3 linked regions of the Macaca fascicularis genome follow. The protein of the gene in region 1 purifies or fractionates together with the protein of each later gene. This does not show direct contact. Links are inferred from orthologs where the notes say so. Each region holds a gene or a part of one and is shown in the gene's direction. Other genes may lie near its edges.

The links. Proteins that work in one complex are often made in the same cells at the same time.
Region 2: the proteins of MAP3K4 (region 1) and GADD45A purify together in Homo sapiens (co-immunoprecipitation; 3 studies listed by BioGRID and IntAct, with this or other methods). This does not show direct contact. The link is inferred for Macaca fascicularis from reciprocal best matches to the Homo sapiens genes MAP3K4 and GADD45A.
Region 3: the proteins of MAP3K4 (region 1) and GADD45B purify together in Homo sapiens (co-immunoprecipitation; 3 studies listed by BioGRID and IntAct, counting the BioPlex papers as one, with this or other methods). This does not show direct contact. The link is inferred for Macaca fascicularis from reciprocal best matches to the Homo sapiens genes MAP3K4 and GADD45B.

What each region holds. Positions count from the first base shown.
Region 1 is NC_088378.1:10,022,197-10,027,537, reverse strand, and holds part of MAP3K4 (mitogen-activated protein kinase kinase kinase 4), read left to right. Parts: coding exon 1-3; intron 4-1,343; coding exon 1,344-1,493; intron 1,494-3,026; coding exon 3,027-3,188; intron 3,189-3,664; coding exon 3,665-3,798; intron 3,799-4,639; coding exon 4,640-4,718; intron 4,719-5,341. UniProt on the Homo sapiens protein: Component of a protein kinase signal transduction cascade. Activates the CSBP2, P38 and JNK MAPK pathways, but not the ERK pathway. Specifically phosphorylates and activates MAP2K4 and MAP2K6.
Region 2 is NC_088375.1:166,989,198-166,995,010, reverse strand, and holds GADD45A (growth arrest and DNA damage-inducible protein GADD45 alpha), read left to right. Parts: upstream 1-2,370; 5' UTR 2,371-2,668; coding exon 2,669-2,712; intron 2,713-3,198; coding exon 3,199-3,300; intron 3,301-3,538; coding exon 3,539-3,776; intron 3,777-4,853; coding exon 4,854-4,967; 3' UTR 4,968-5,530; downstream 5,531-5,813. UniProt on the Homo sapiens protein: In T-cells, functions as a regulator of p38 MAPKs by inhibiting p88 phosphorylation and activity.
Region 3 is NC_088393.1:3,129,422-3,135,222, forward strand, and holds GADD45B (growth arrest and DNA damage-inducible protein GADD45 beta), read left to right. Parts: upstream 1-2,521; 5' UTR 2,522-2,753; coding exon 2,754-2,797; intron 2,798-2,923; coding exon 2,924-3,025; intron 3,026-3,424; coding exon 3,425-3,647; intron 3,648-3,886; coding exon 3,887-4,000; 3' UTR 4,001-4,658; downstream 4,659-5,801.

The sequences.
Region 1 (5,341 bases):
CAGGTACATCTCACCTCCGACTTCTCAGCAGTGTTACTTAAAGGACTTTTAGTAAGAATGAACTGTTAGCCACTCATGAATGAGGGGTGCAGCTACCCTAGTAATCACAAGTATATACTTCCCAAAAATATGCCTCAATGTGTTAATAGGTAATTTTGCAGCATAATTTGTACAATGTATCATTCTGTTAAGTTAAATTATTCTGGAATATTTGAAATAAACCATCTTTCTGGTTTATATCTTTTCTTAGTTCAGCCACAGCTTAGTTCAGCTGTGGAGCTATGATCTAAAAGAAATTATGTCACTAATATAATTTGTAGTTCTAGAAATCCCAGTTCTCCAAGTATTCAGGTTTACTGATTATTTAATTTTCACTTTTTGTAGTGAAGGTTGTCCCCTCCCTACCTAACAGGGACCTCGTGACAGTTTCTGTAACTCATTAGTTATAAACTGTGAGAAGCTTTCTCATTTATCTGTGTTCAGCTTAGGAACAGTCATGGTGAGTGTTCATATGCACCTTGAGCTCAGTCTCACAAGAACTGAGTATACACTGGCCTGCTGTGTCCCTTCACCCCAACAACTCTGCTTTTATATTCCGTCTCAGTGAATGGTTCCGCGTTCACTCACATGTTTAAACCAGAAATGTGACAGCTAATATAAATTCAGCCTCCCACCTTTCCAGTTAATACCTTGCCAGAAGTATTTCCAGTCAATGATCCTTTCCCTGCATCCCCAGAGCAGCTGCTATAGTCAGAACTTTACCATCCCTCTCCTGAACTATTGCAGTTTCTTACTTTGAGTTTCCTTGCTTCAAACCTCACCTTCTGTCTCTCCAATTCTATGTTTGTTTTTGTACTTCCAGAATGATCATTATAATACATCTGATTGCATCACAGATCTACTTAAAATACTGCAAGGATTCTTTATCTCTTGAAGAACAAAAGTAATAAAGTCTTGATTTCTTAATGTTTTATATAAGGCCCTTCAATTGATGTCTCTTATTCCTACATTTTCCTTCTTCACACTGCTCCAATACACACACTCAAACTCACACTCACACTCTGCACTAGCAGTACTCAACACTTGAAGTTCTAGGATATCTCAAAGATGTCATGCCTGCAGTCCCAAGGGGTTGTTCTCCATGGTGCTGAATATCCCAGCTGTCAATGCCCACTGAAGTGTGTTGCTATGTAGGAGAAGCTTTGCTTAAAAATGACTTTCTGATCAGATGGTTGTTGGCCTGGTATCCCTGAGATTGGCATTGTTTTTGGACTGGTGTTGAACTAGAATAACAACTAGTAACTGGGTTGGTTTTTGTGTCCTGTGCTTGATTTTCCTCCCAGGTGGATAACCTTTTACTAGTTGTCATGCAGTCTGCCCATCTCACAATTCAGAGAAAAGCTTTCCAGCAGTCCATTGAGGGACTTATGACTCTGTGCCAGGAGCAGACATCCAGTCAGCCGGTCATCGCCAAAGCTTTGCAGCAGCTGAAGGTATCACGCTGTTCTCTACATTAGCTGAGATTTTTCCTTTTTGCTGAAATACTGTGGAAGAGTCAGTGTGTGGTAATGTGTGTAAGGTAATATCATCCAAGGAACTTGAGCTCTTAAATTGCCCACCACGCACCTCTCTTCCCAATACATATTTTCTTACGTCTAAACTACAGATTCTGAGATTCCTGAAACTGTAGAACTTTGTAATTGGAAAGGATAGAGAATTGAACTTTATGTGACTTACTCATGATGACTACGTGACTGGCTAGTGGCAAAGTTGAAAATTTAGGAATATAGGTCTCTTCATTCCCAGTGTAAATTTCATTCTCCTTTCACAATCTCCAGTATTTACTAGAGGTATTCCATATCAGTAGTGTGTAATAGAAGATATATTGTTTTGTTTAATAAATCAACCAAACATAATAGAAAAAAGTTGCAGAGAAGCACAAAGGCCTTTCAAAGTTTATAACAAGCCACAGCCTGGCTGTCTTTTTCCATTATTTTCTGTTTTTGACACTTTCTATTTTGTATCCCATGTATCAGTCTTGATCTCATCCACACTTTTGCAGGTGATCAGTTACGTCTTCTCACTCGCATTAAGGCTTAACTTCTTGAAGAAGAAACACTCTCTGAAGTTACAAGTCATTTCATAAACATTTGTTTTTCTTCTGTCAGTCTGATTTGTCTAATTTATCTATAAACATTTATTAACTAAATATTTAGGTTATCTCTCTTTATAGATTGCTGGAAGAATATTTTGTAACCATAGTAAGGGGATTGCCTGATGGAGACCTTGTATGCACTCATGTGTAAGGGTAGAAAGGGAGACCAATTTGGAGCTATTGTGTTGACGACAGAGGTGATGAAAGCTCGAGCTAGGGCAGGGCTTCTCAGCCTCTTCAGTGTGGACATTTGGGCCGGTAATTCTTTGTTGTGGAGGTCCGTCCTGTGCATTCCAGGACGTTTAGCAACATTCCTGGCCTCTACTTACCATATCCCTGTAGATTCCACTTTTTCCTCCAAATTTTGACAGTCTAAAACTTCTCTGGACAACGTCTCCAGACGCTGAGGGGAGGGCGAAAAATCCACCCCAGAAGAGAACCCCTGGACTAGGAAGTAGCAGGGAAATGAGGACAGCCTGATTCGAGGACACTGTGGAGGTCATCTAGAAGTACGTGGGCTTTTTCACTCTGTGGAATTGCACCCGTACTTATGGTTGAGCAACCGTCCAAGGGGAGAAAACAACAGGTGGTTGATGTATAAAAATATTGAAGATAAAAGCATCTATTCCAAGAGCAGATTACAACTAGACTGTATCATTTTAAATGCATTTTTTCTCTTCTATTTAAGAATGCCAAATAAAATGACATAATTTCTTCTATATTTGGTAATTCCTTTTGATAACTAAAAGTGGCTGAATTGTTTTGTAGTGGTTAATGTCTGTGATGATGATGAACGAAATCTTTCTTTAAAATGTGGTAAGTATTGTATGATTTGCTTCGTTTTGCATTAATCCTGGTTTGGACTCTTTAGAATGATGCATTAGAGCTATGCAACAGAATAAGCAATGCCATTGACCGCGTGGACCACATGTTCACATCAGAATTCGATGCTGAAGTTGATGAATCCGAATCTGTCACCTTGCAACAGTACTACCGAGAAGCAATGATTCAGGGGTACAATTTTGGATTTGAGGTAGGTTCAAAATAAGAGGAAACACACACTACAGTTTAGTAATTGCTTGATAACTTACAGAAAGTTTTAGGAACCTTTTACAGTAAATCTGATACTGTAATCACAGCGAAATCAAGAATACCATCTTATATCACTGCTGTATATCGGAGATGTTACTGTACTTTTAAACTGTTAGGTAGTTGTCCGACTTTTGTTTTGTGCCAACAGCCAACTACTTAACATTTTAAAACTTTAAAGAGATGTTTTATATCATGAAAGCACATTCTTAATTTAAACTCAGGAGTGAAACATTTATGAAACTGCATATTGAAACACTATACTTTCCATAATTCTTCATAATATTCAAAATATAGAAATTTTAATTGGATTTCACTTTTTGTTTTTAGAAAACATTTTAAACAGACATGACATTATAGTGGGTGGCATTATTTAATGATCATTTTCTTAATTTTGATATACCTGAAATCTTCTTACAGTATCATAAAGAAGTTGTTCGTTTGATGTCTGGGGAGTTTAGACAGAAGATAGGAGACAAATATATAAGCTTTGCCCGGAAGTGGATGAATTATGTCCTGACTAAATGTGAGAGTGGTAGAGGTACAAGACCCAGGTAATGACCAAGTAGGATGTTTCTGAAATATGTCATGTGGGGTTGGGAGTATTTGTTCATATATGTCCTATGGGATTTTTTTTGAGCAGATGACACAGAAGGGAGCACCCTAAACTCTTTGGTGATCAGGTTTTGTTTTTTTTTTTTTAATGGAAAAATATACAGAGAAAACTGCATAATTCTTGGGAAAAAATTTTTTTAAAAATTTGTTCCAAATTGGAGTTGTCTTTAAGGGAACTCATGTTCTCCTTTGACAAGTCTTCCTGATGACTAATGTTTTTTCCTCCTTCATGAAATTTATTCATTAAGAAACCGTTTTGGAATTTGCAGGGGTGAAATGGGTGAATCATCTGTGAGGCTCAATAGTAGCTCCACTAAAGTAAACATAGTTATTAAAGTGTCATGACTGTGTGAAAAATAGCTGAGTGTTCTGTAATTTGTAATGGAGGGGTAGCGTGGGGCACTTTTTAAAAGTCATTAAGCAATTTCTCTAAGTTAGAGAAAACACATTTGCTGTGCCTGAGACTCCAGTGGGAACTTTGTGTTACAAAACTCATAAATAATTGTTGAATTACAAATAAATAATTGTTGAATTACAGATGGCACCTATCATGTCTAAAATCCTCTTCCATGCTTCCTATTGGTTTCAAAACAAAATTAAATTTTAAAAAATTAGGTCACACTGTAAACTTACTGAACCCAGGCAAAAAAAAAAAAAAAAAAAAAGGTGTTTTGTCATAAATAGTAATTATAATTATGTTACTTTTCAGTATTGTACAGTCTAAAACTGCTACAGCATTTTCTTGGTTGTTTGTGATTGCCGAACTTTTTCATGTACCAGGTGGGCGACTCAAGGATTTGATTTTCTACAAGCAATTGAACCTGCCTTTATTTCAGCTTTACCAGAAGATGACTTCTTGGTATGGAATATTCTACAGTTTTTTTCATTATAAAATAAGCCAGTCACTCTTCATTTTCTGGTTGAGTATGTTTTATATGTAATAATCGTTCTTTTTTTTTTTTTTTTGAGACAGAGTCTCGCTGTGTCACCCAGGCTGGAGTGTAGTGGCCGGATTTCGGCTCACTGCAAGCTCCGCCTCCCGGGTTCATGCCATTCTCCTGCCTCAGTCTCCCGAGTTGCTGGGACTACAGGCGCCCGCCACCTCGCCCGGCTAGTTTTTTGTATTTTTTAGTAGAGACGGGGTTTCACCGTGTTAGCCAGGGTGGTCTCGATCTGCTGACCTCGTGATCCGCCCGTCTCGGCCTCCCAAAGTGCTGAGATTACAGGCTTGAGCCACCGTGCCCGGCTGAGGTTCTTAAATATTTTTCATGTAATGATAATGCTGAGAAATTTAAAGTACTCCTCATAGCAGAGTAAGATATTTTTTTCCTTTTGTAACATTAGTGTTCAACTAAATCAATGTCTAGTTTGTAAACCCTGGCCCTTCTAACATATTTGGTAGTTTTATATTTTTACTGCTATCATAGCTGCTGCTTTGGGGCAGAACAAAAATTAGCTCTTTTACCTCAGCGTGCATCATTT
Region 2 (5,813 bases), on another chromosome or scaffold:
TCTGATGAAGTCAAATATAGCATCCAGTACAATTTTTGAGTGGAGGACTAAGCCTATAATAAAAAGTAACCATTTGATATCACATTTTTACTGGATATAGTTGACTTGGGTGGGGCACTTTAGGACTGTGGTTCATTTGAATTGGTGTAAACAATACACGGGTTCTACTGTCCTAGCCTCCATTCAGATGACTGAAGTCATGGGACTTTCAGCATAGTTAGTTGATGACAGTGCATAGTATTTTGTCCCAAAATCCAGTTCAAGCGTGGACATACCAATTAGAGCCTAAGCTTTTTAAAGGCAAAGGACCAGGAATTGTACAGTTCTTGGTATAGAGGAGGACAGGAAAAAGTGTTTTTGAACTAACGTTAAATGTGGAATATGTGGGAAGTCATGCAATGCACAGGACTGCAGGATTCTGATATCTTATTTAACTCTCAGATTCTATTCAACTCAATAAATCTTGACTGTGCTTCTACTAAATGTAGGTATTGTGCTAGGAGCTGAGGACACCAAACTGATGAAGTCCTTGCTGTCAAGAAACTCACATGATTCCCTAATTCTTTGTCAGCTTGCTGTGATCATATTTGCTTCCCAAGAACCTCTAAGAAATGCCTAGTGGATAGAACCTTGGAGTTCCACGGAACATATTAACAATCGTCAAATGATGACTCAGGCTAGATTGTGTAATTCAGGTTTTGTCTGCAAAACTGAAAATGCTTTGGTAACCTACCTAAATTTCAATGTTGAGGAATTCTTTAAGAAACACATCAAATGTGAAGATTTAAGGCACAGACACGAGATACATAAGCATTCTTCGGTGAATTATGCACTGACCATGACCATTTCTTTACTCAAAGGTTGTCCCTGGCTGACAACGCAGTTAAAAAATGAGTGCAAAATGACAACTCAAATATATGAACCAGAAAAACCTATCACTTTTCTTTTCTACCAAATTAAGATCAAGAGAGCTGGAGAATATTTTGTCTAGAGTGATAAAAACATAAGGGTGCAAAACTCCCAGGTGACCTTTGCAAAAAATTACTTCTGTGACCTTTGGCTGTACAGCAACCTTAATAATGCAAGCACTGTTTTGAATGCAAGCATGTGGGAGCCGTTTTCACCACTTTTGGTGACTTCAGTAGGTTTAAGAAATGTTTTTGCATTTATTGCATAAACCATAAAACAAAGGAAGGGACTTTTGAACTACTCAGTGAGAGTCTATATATTAAAGTTTGTTTTTCAAAATGTGTAACTACCATTTGCAGTTTTAAAGGTCTGCTTTCCACCTGCAAGTTGCCATTATCTCAAAGGTGAAATTTTAGCATATGACTAAAAACTTCCTATAGTTACGGCTTCATGATTCAGCATCTAACATCAATAATTCACAGTGAGATCACACAGGAGGCTCTCTGTGGAAGGTAGTGACATACATACGTTAGGAAAGGAAGCTTAGGGCATATCAAGAGCATTTTGAATTTAGACTTGTGGGCTGTGTGGGTGTCAGATGGTTGTCTCTCGACTGGTGGGCGTCCAGAAGGATCCTTGTTTGGGCAAGGCTCTTTGAGAAAGGAGAATCTGGGTTGCCAGGGATTCCCACATGTGGTCACCAGCTCCCCACGCAGACCAGCTCACGATTTCCCAGTTACAGCGGGCAGGTGGGAAACCGTTCTGCATTCTGTGGAAAAGACTCCAACTTGGTTCCCTGCCATCCCTGAATACAAACGGGTTGGTTTTTCTTTTTTGAGCTTCCAACCCTTGCAGCTTTCCAAAAATAAATCAAACCAGCCATCAGGGCACCGAAATAATACTACTGCTAATAAGCAGCTTCGCCTAGACTTAGATAAACAACACTTCTGAGGTAAACTTTGCCCCAGAGGTCTGGAGACACTTTTTTAATGTAAACTGCTTACTAATAATTACTAGACTTAGGTGCATTAACCCTGGAAATAGATTTTAATAGCCACCCCTTAAAACAAAAGGCATGAAACGATAATAAGAAAAAAGTGCCGCGACTATTATAAAAAAACACTTGGCAGCCTGCTTCAGCCCAAGCTAAGGCTACCTCCCGCCTCTGCTGAAGCCCTCCACTCCCAGTGGTCCCCGCCAACCGGATAAGAGAGCGCGCGGGACCCGCCTTCCTCTCTCTGCACCGCCCCCGTCCCCGCCCCCGCCCCCGCCCCCTCGGCTCGCCTCCCGCGTGGCTCCTCCCTTTTCCGCTCCTCTCAACCTGACTCCAGGAGCTAGGGTCAAATTGCCGGAGCAGGCTGATTTGCATAGCCCAATGGCCAAGATGCATGCAAATGAGGCGGAAGGTGGTTGGCTGAGGGTTGGCAGGATAACGCCGACGAGCGGGGCCCTTTGTCCTCCAGTGGCTGGTAAGCAGTGGCTGCGAGGCAGCTGCCCAATTAGTGTCGTGAGGCCGGTGGCGAGGCGAGGGCCGGAGAGCGAGCGAACGAGCAAGCGGGGCGGGAGGGGTGGCCGAAGCTGCGGCGGCTGGCACAGGAGGAGGAGCCCGGGCGGGCGTGGGGCAGCCGGACAGCGCCGGGGCCTGAGCTCCCGGCGCGGCGCCTGTGAGTGAGTGCAGAAAGCAGGCGCTGGCGCGCTCGCCGTGGCAGGAGCAGCCCGCACGCCGCGCTCTCTCCGTGGGCGACCTGCAGTTTGCAATATGACTTTGGAGGAATTCTCGGCTGGAGAGCAGAAGACCGAAAGGTAAATCGGCCTGCGGACTCTTCCGGCCCGAACTTCTCTCACCTACCCCGCGCTCCCGGGTGCAGGCGGGCTGTGGAAGGTTTGCAGGGGAGGAAGCAGAAAAGTTTGCACAGGGCAACTCCCGCCCTTGCTCCCTCGGGACTCTCCGTGTAGCGTCCGCGGACTGAAAGAGCATGCCCCGCAACCCGAACGAGCCCCGCCGGGGCCTTTGCAAAGGGCAGCAGTGGCCGTCGCTGCCCTTGCGGCTCCTGGGGCTAGCAGCCTGTGGCAGGGGCACTCTCGGGACTTCTCATGGGACGCCCGGTCCTTGGGCGTGCAGGGGTCATGGGGGGTGACGGGGCCGCGGGAGCGCCGGGTTTTCGGAGAGCCCAGGTGCGCGGTGGTGCTTGCATTCGAGAGGGAGGGGCGTGGTGCCGGGCAATGGGGGCGGCGATGGGCCCGAGGGCACCGGGGCTGACGGGACCCCTCGCCCTTGCCCGCGTGTAGGATGGATAAGGTGGGGGATGCCCTGGAGGAAGTGCTCAGCAAAGCCCTGAGTCAGCGCACGATCACTGTCGGGGTGTACGAAGCGGCCAAACTGCTCAACGTGTAAGTGGGGCCCTTGCGCGTCTCCCGTGGCACCCCTTCCCGCCCTAGCCCGGGAGGTCGCCTTGGCTGGGCGCCCCTCGCCCGGCCGCGCCACTTCCTGTCGCTTTTCTTCTGCCCCCGCGGCTGCCTGTCCCGGAGGGGAGGGGGCGAGCTGGCCGGGCGGCGACCCCCGGAGACCCAGGCAGGGGTTGAGGGCGTCCGCGGTTCTGCGCTCACTGGCCCCGCCCGCTGCCCCCAGCGACCCCGATAACGTGGTGTTGTGCCTGCTGGCGGCGGACGAGGACGACGACCGAGATGTGGCTCTGCAGATCCACTTCACCCTGATCCAGGCGTTCTGCTGCGAGAACGACATCAACATCCTGCGCGTCAGCAACCCGGGCCGGCTGGCGGAGCTCCTGCTCTTGGAGACCGACGCTGGCCCCGCGGCGACCGAGGGCGCCGAGCAGCCCCCGGACCTGCACTGCGTGCTGGTGACGGTAAGGGGCAGGGGGACTGCAGCCTGCGGGGTAGAGCCCCGGAAGGACGGGAGTCAGGGCTGGGTCGCCTGATTGTGGATCTGGGGTAGGTTTGGGTCAGGAGGGTGCTGCCTTTGCCCCACGAGAGTGTGGCTGGACTTTCAGCCGAGATGTACTAGTTTCATCATCAGGATAATCTGTGGTACAGAACATGTCTAAGCATGCTGGGGACTGCCAGCAGCGGAAGAGATCCCTGTGAGTCAGCAGTCAGCCCAGCTACTCCCTACCTACATCTGCATTGCCTCCCGTGACTAATTCCTTTAGCAGGGCAGATTAGATAAAGCCAAATGAATTCCTGGCTCACCCCTCATTAAGGAGTCAGCTTCATTCTCTGCCAGTCAGAGCTAAAAATAGAAATTGTGTAGGAGACAAACCTTGTTAATTCCCTAGAAATACATTAAGAGGATAGAGTGGAATTTTTTTCTCTGCAATCTTGCATTTTTTTAATGGGCCTTTTTTTTTTTTTTACTCTTCTGATAAAAACCTTTGGTAGGTAGGGAAGTTATGTTTTCAGGGATAAGTGTGCTACTTTTGTCTTCTAAATTTTGCTTTTTGACTGGTCTAGTCAAGTGACAGCCGGATTATTTTGCTACTCCTTAAAAGTACTACTCTGTCTCTTGGGAGTAGAGTTGATGGCAATTCCAGTTAACTGCTGTGCAGCTCTCATCTCATTGTGCACACAGCATGGAAATCTTTCTCAAAACTGTTTCACTCAGGTCAGGGTAACAAGTTTGGTAGAGCAAACCCGTGAATGATACTCTCATGCAAAACTGAACAGATATGCAAACATATGTATGTGGTTCAGCTTGGGTTGCATGGGTTCAGACTTTGCAGTGTGTAGTTTAATAGGTAATTACCCTTAACGATTTTGCACGGAACCCAACTACTTTGAAGAAACTTTAATTTTTTGTGCTTCTAATTTGTCTCCATGTCACGTAGCCAAAATATAGAATGTTCAAGTGTCTTCTCCTCAAAAGTGTAATACTAGCAAATATCGATTTTTTAAAAATAAGTTTATTTTTCTAAATTTGTTTCCAGAATCCACATTCATCTCAATGGAAGGATCCTGCCTTAAGTCAACTTATTTGTTTTTGCCGGGAAAGTCGCTACATGGATCAGTGGGTTCCGGTGATTAATCTCCCTGAACGGTGATGGCATCTGAATGAAAATAACTGAACCAAATTGCACTGAAGTTTTTGAAATACCTTTGTAGTTACTCAAGCAGTTACTCCCTACACTGATGCAAGGATTACAGAAACTGATGTCAAGGGGCTGAGTGAGTTCAACTACATGTTCTGGGGGCCCGGAGATAGATGACTTTGCAGATGGAAAGAGGTGAAAATGAAGAAGGAAGCTGTGTTGAAACAGAAAAATAAGTCAAAAGGAACAAAAATTACAAAGAACCATGCAGGAAGGAAAACTATGTATTAATTTAGAATGGTTGAGTTACATTAAAATAAACCAAATCTGTTAAAGTTTAAAAGTACAGCCATAGTTTGGGTATTTTTGGTTTATATGCCCTCAAGTAAAAGAAAAGCCTAAAGGGTTAATCATATTTGAAAACCATATTTTATTGTATTTTGATGAGATATTAAATTCTCAAAGTTTTATTATAAATTCTACTAAGTTATTTTATGACATGAAAAGTTATTTATGCTATAAATTTTTTTGAAACACAATACCTACAATAAACTGGTATGAATAATTGCATCATTTCCTATTGTGTGCTCTTGTTTCTTTTAACTCGTACTTTTTAAAACATTTTACTGACGCTCTGCTCTATACCAGGTCTATAGTCAGAAAGCACATGACTTAAAGGAGTTGGAGTTAGGAAAAAGGGATGGTTAGAGATTCAGCTTGCAAAATTTGAATAATTAAAGATCAATGATAGTAGTGCCAAAATAAGATTATACACAAAAGGTTGAGGAGGCAGAGAGGACAGAGTGACCAAAGCTACCTACCAGTTTTTATTGAAGAGAGATCATTTTATGTTGGTCT
Region 3 (5,801 bases), on another chromosome or scaffold:
GTGCAAGTCTGGCTCACTGCAGCCAGGAACTCCTGGGCTCAAGTGATCCTCCTGCCTCGGCCTCCGGAGTAGCCAGGATTACAGGTGTACACAACACACCCCATTCTTTTTTTTTTTTTTTAAAGACAGAGTCTCACTCTAGCACGATCTCGGCTCACTGCAATCTCAGCTTACTGCAACCTCTGTCTCCCAAGTTCAAGCCATTCTCCTGCCTCAGCCTCCAGAGTAGCTGGGATTACAGGCATGTGCCACCATGCCCAACTGATTTTGTATTTTAGTTTCTTCATGTTGGTCAGGCTGGTCTTAAACTCCTGGCCTCAGGTGATCTGCCCGCCTCGGCCTCCCAAAGTGCTGAGATTACAGGCGTGAGCCACCGTGCCCGGCCTTTTGTTTTGAGATGGAATCTCTCTCTGTCACCATGCCATGTGCAGTGGCATGATCTCAGCTCACTGAAACCTCCATCTCCTAGGTTCAATCCATTCTCCTGCCTCAGCCTCCTGAGTAGCTGGGATTACAGGCACGCGCCACCATGCCCAGCTAATTTTTGTGCTTTTAGTAGAGACGGGGTTTCACCATGTTGGTCAGGCTGGTCTCGAACTCCTGACCTCATGATCTGCTCTCCTTGGCCTCTTAATGTGCTGGGATTACCCAGCCTGCAATACTTTTTAAAAACAAAAATCAGGCCGGGCGCGGTGGCTCACGCCTGTAATCCCAGCGTGAGGGAACAAAATATCAAAATTGTAAATAAAGACAGAATCTGACTTTGCACTTATCCCACTCACCTCCCTGACCTCCCCTATCTTCAGCTCAATTTGGCCGTATTGGTCAGGCTGGTCTGGAACTCCTGACCTCAGTTGATCTGCCCGCCTAGGACTCCCAAAGTGCTGGGATTACAGGCGTGATCCACCGCTCCCGGCCGATTTAATTTTTAAAATTAAATTTTAAAATATAAATATATATGTTGCCTGCGTAAAACATTGCATATATAAAATTATATGAAACGTTGCAACTGCCACGGTCCCCTTATCCCCCGCCTCCAGCCCAGTGCCCCGCCCGTCCGTCCCTCTCTTCCGGCGCTGAGGGCGCAGAAACTCTGCGCGGCCACCAGATGGCGCCGCCGCGCCTCGCAGCCCCGGGACATTTCGTGCCCCAGCGGTGGGCGGCGCGGAGAAGGCGGGATGCGTCAGCTGGGCTCGCGGGCCGGGGAGCCGGGGAACCGGGGAAACCGAGCCGCAGGGCCGAGGCCAGAACCCAGGCTGGCGGGGGAGGGGACTCAGACGTGAGTCACCCGGGAGCCCCCAGTCGACCGTGGGAGACGTTGTCATGCGGGGCCTGCCCGCCTCGTTCCTAAGCAGCCTTCCTGGGGCGGCGGAGTCCTGCAGGCGGCCGTGCCTGGCGCACAGGCGTGGCTCCAACACGAACTAGCCTGTGGCCTCACCAAGCCTCAGTTTACCCTTTTGCATAATGCACATAAGCATCCCCCCTGCTTCTCAGGTCTTGGATTAAATCATCCATGAATCGGGAGGGGTGGAGGGTGCCAGATCCGCACCACGCTCAGTGCAGGTCAGCGCCCACCCCGGAGTGAGAAATAAAGGTGGCCGTCATCCTTGCACGTGGGCCTGGGGTAGCGGCGTGCAGCCGCAGCCTGCACCATTCCCCCCAACAATGGCTTTCTCCTCGGCCTGGAGGCCTCCGCACGCGCAAAGCCTGGAACGCCAGGCAGCTGGCGGGGGCGGGGCCACGCCACCTGCACCTCCCACGCGCGCCCCACCCTGAAACTCGCGGGGTCGGCGAGGGGGCGCCCGCTTTCTTCTCCAGAGTGCCCCGGGCTTTGCAACCTCCCACTTTCGGGGCCCTGGAGGAGGCCTCCCGCGACCACCAGGTGACAGATGATGTGTATTGAGCGCTTACTGTCAGCCGTATTTTATGTGATGCTCTGCAAACCAGCGAGGCCGGCGCTGCAGCCCCATTACTCAGACAGGAATATAGAGGCCGGGAAAAGCGAAATCACCCAGGGGCTGGGGTCGCCGCAGCCAGGAGAGACTCCGGTCATCACCACCACCTGGGCGAGATCAGGCTGCGAACGGGGCCCTTTCCCGGTGCAGCCCCTCCACCCCCAGCAGAACTTGGGAAAGGAGCAGTCCGGGACTCTCCGCGCAGCGGGAGGGGATTCCAGGCCCCCCCCCGGCGAAAGTCCGGGCCGCCTCGCGCGCTGGAAATCCCGCGCGCGCCCCGAACCGCGGCTCGGCTGCCGGGAAATCAGGAGAAAAAAACTTCTGCTTTTTTTTTTCTTTTCTGGCATTCGCGGTCACCTACCCGGCCCCCGCGCGCCCTCCTCCCGGTTCTCGCCCCCACGTGGGGCGCCCCCACACGGCGCTCCGCCCCCTCGCCGCCGTCGGCCAACCGCAGAGCTGTCTGCACTCTCCGTTGTCCTTCCACCAATAGGAGGGTTGAATGACTCCACTGAGGCCTCGCCCCAGCCGTCAAGTCTATAAAAGTCGGTGCCGGAGGCTCCCGGCTCAGATCGCCGAGGCTTCGGACTACGGTTGGTTTCTGCAACTTCCCGGATTATTTTCGCCAAGGACTTTGCAACATTTTTTTCCGCCTTTTCTGGAAGGATTTCGCTGCTTCCCGAAGGTCTTGGACGAGCGCTCCAGCTCCGTGGGAAGGTTTTGGGCTCTCTGGCGCGGATTTTGCAATTTCTCCCTGGGGACTGTCGTGGAGCCGCGTCCACTGTGGATTATAATTGCAACATGACGCTGGAAGAGCTCGTGGCGTGCGACAACGCGGCGCAGAAGTAAGTAGCCGGGACCGCCGCCGTCTGAGGTTGGCCGGGACGGGATGGGTCGGGTTGGGCCGGGCCGGGAGCGGAATGTAGCACCCGGTGGTCCGCCCGTCACTGATCCCTCTCTCCTGGCCTCAGGATGCAGACGGTGACCGCCGCGGTGGAGGAGCTGTTGGTGGCCGCTCAGCGCCAGGATCGCCTCACAGTGGGGGTGTACGAGTCGGCCAAGTTGATGAATGTGTGAGTCAGACCCCCTCCCCGGGCCGGGCGCGGGTGGGACGGGACCTCCCCTCCGCTCTGGACGCTTTCCACACGCTTGTCTCGCATGGGGCTGGGACTTCCCCAAGTGCCACCCGCTGTGGATGCAGAGCTCCTCTGCTGTTTTGTGGATTGGGGGCTGCCGTATCCTGATGCATCGTCTGCAAGCGCCCCTCCCGCTGTGGGCCTGTCTCCCCACACCCCACACTTTGAACCGTGTGCCTTCCCCGCCCCCCACCGTCACCAGCTTGCAGAGGCAATCCCCTGCACCCCTGCAGTTTCTCTTTTGCTCTTGCACGCTCCTTTTTTTGCAAACTCCCCCTGCACGGTGGCCTCTCCCCTGTTCCCGGCTGACCCACCCCTTCCCTTTGGCCCCCTCAGGGACCCAGACAGCGTGGTCCTCTGCCTCTTGGCCATTGACGAGGAGGAGGAGGATGACATCGCCCTGCAAATCCACTTCACGCTCATCCAGTCCTTCTGCTGCGACAACGACATTAACATCATGCGGGTGTCGGGCATGCAGCGCCTGGCACAGCTCCTGGGAGAGCCGGCCGAGACCCAGGGCACCACTGAGGCCCGAGACCTGCATTGTCTCCTGGTCACGGTGAGTTGGGCCTCTGCCCTGACCTGCCACGCCCGGGCACCTGGGCTGGTGTTTGTCAACAAAGTCGGGCTGACTGGTCCTGCACAGCTCAGGGTTCAACCATGCTTGGCATGTCCCGTGGGCAGCCGGGCTGGGGCCTCCTCACCCAGGGAGCTATTTTGAGCCTGCCTGTTTTCCCCACACATGGGGCCCTGGGAGAGGGAGGCTCCCACTAAACCCTTTCTTTTCCCCTCCCACAGAACCCTCACACGGACGCCTGGAAGAGCCACGGCTTGGTGGAGGTAGCCAGCTACTGCGAAGAAAGCCGGGGCAACAACCAGTGGGTGCCCTACATCTCTCTTCAGGAACGCTGAGGCCCTTCCCAGCAGCAGAACCTGTTGAGTTGCTGCCAAAAACAAAAAATAAAATAAATATTTGAACCCCCCTCCCCCCCAGCACAACCCCCCCAAAACAACCCAACCCACGAAACCATCGGGGGCAGAGTCGTTGGAGACTGAAGAGGAGGAGGAGGAGGAGAAGGGGAGTGAGTGGCCGCCCCCAGGGCGGAGATCGGGGAGCTGGCGGCCGCCGATCCGATGGAGGAGAAGTGGGGACCCAGGCCAGCAGGAGACAGGACCCCGGAGCTCAGGCCTTGGGATGGAGCAGAAGCTGGAGGGGCGGGGCACGCTGCCGCCTTCCCTATCATGGAAGGTCCAGACTCTCCACTTGAGGGTGGAGTGAGACTGACTGCAACCCCCACCCTCCTTGAGACTGGAGCTGGCGTCTGCAGACTAGAGACCTGGTTGAACTTGGTTGGTGCTTGTCTGCACCCTCGACAAGACCACACTTTGGGACTTGGGAGCTGGGGCCGAAGTTGCTCTGTACCCATGAACTCCCAGTTTGCGAATCATAGAGACAATCTATTTTGTTACTTGCACTTGTTACTCGAACCACTGAGAGCGAGATGGGAAGCACAGATATCTATATTTTTATTTCTACTCTGATGACCTTGTAATAAATTTCTAAAGCTTCTGGGTGCTTGTATGTTTTCGGCTTCTGAGAACAACCGGGACCCCTGCCCCCTCCCCTGGGACACGCTTCACACCCCCCCTCCCCACCTCTCCTCCGCAACCCCTGCCAGCTCACCAGGAAGTGTTACTCAAGCCCCTGTTAGCAGCTCCAGGCTCCCGTGCAAAACAGTACCTCTTCTCTGCAGCAGGCGCCTCCACCGACTCCAACAAATCTATGCCTCTTTTTTTTTTTTTTTTTCCTCTCCTCCTACCCTGTAGCAATTAAGAGACCGGTTTATTACGAAACCTGGCCGCCGTGCCACCGCTGTTACTGGCTGTGCAGGAGCCAGCCCTAAGCTCTGGGCACATATGGAGGCATTTCGGCGGGAGGGGGTGCTGGCTGCAGCCCCTGACCGCCCCGGCGGCCGCCACCGCAGCCCAAGGTCCAGAGCGGTCAATGGGGCACCTGGGACCACACAGCGAGGTGAGCTCAGGACTTGCAAGGAAGAGCTCCTTTGGAGGATTCCGCAGGGAGTGCCCCGCACCCACCACAGCCGTCTCCATCCCAGGATAGGCCTCTCTTTTGCACTAAAGAAAAGAACTTTTTTTTTTTTTTTTTTTCCGCAAACTAAAATCAACAAGCAGAAAAATACCCCAGGAAGTCGGCCTCCGGGCCAGCTGGCCTTGGCACAGTGCTGCGTTTTGCCTCTAAACCGAAACTGCGAGCCCTGGCCAGCCACCTCCTACTTCTCCCAAAGTTGCAGGCGCGGTGGTGACTCCCCCTGCCCCAGGCTGGGAGCGTGGCCCAGCCCTTCCGTGCCCGGCCTCAGTCTTCCCGCCCCGGGTCTGCAGGATGGGCCCGCCCTGGCCGGGCGCAGGGACGACCTTGGCTCCCCTCTGCCATGCAGCCCCAAGCCTGAGAACTAAGGAGGAGTGTGGAGAGGGTGGGGTGGTCCTGCCCGCAGGCCGCGACCTTTCCACGGAGCCTCACGTGGGCGCATGAGGAAAACCCCAGCGGCTCCCTGGGAGTCACGGGAATCGGGGGAGCCCCGGCGGGGGAGGGCGAGAGAGGGAGGGGGAAGTCCCAGAGGGAGAAGGGGGGAGGGGGGAGGGGATCCCGCCTGGGGCTAGGAGGAGGGGAGAACTGAAGTGGGGAAAGGGGAGC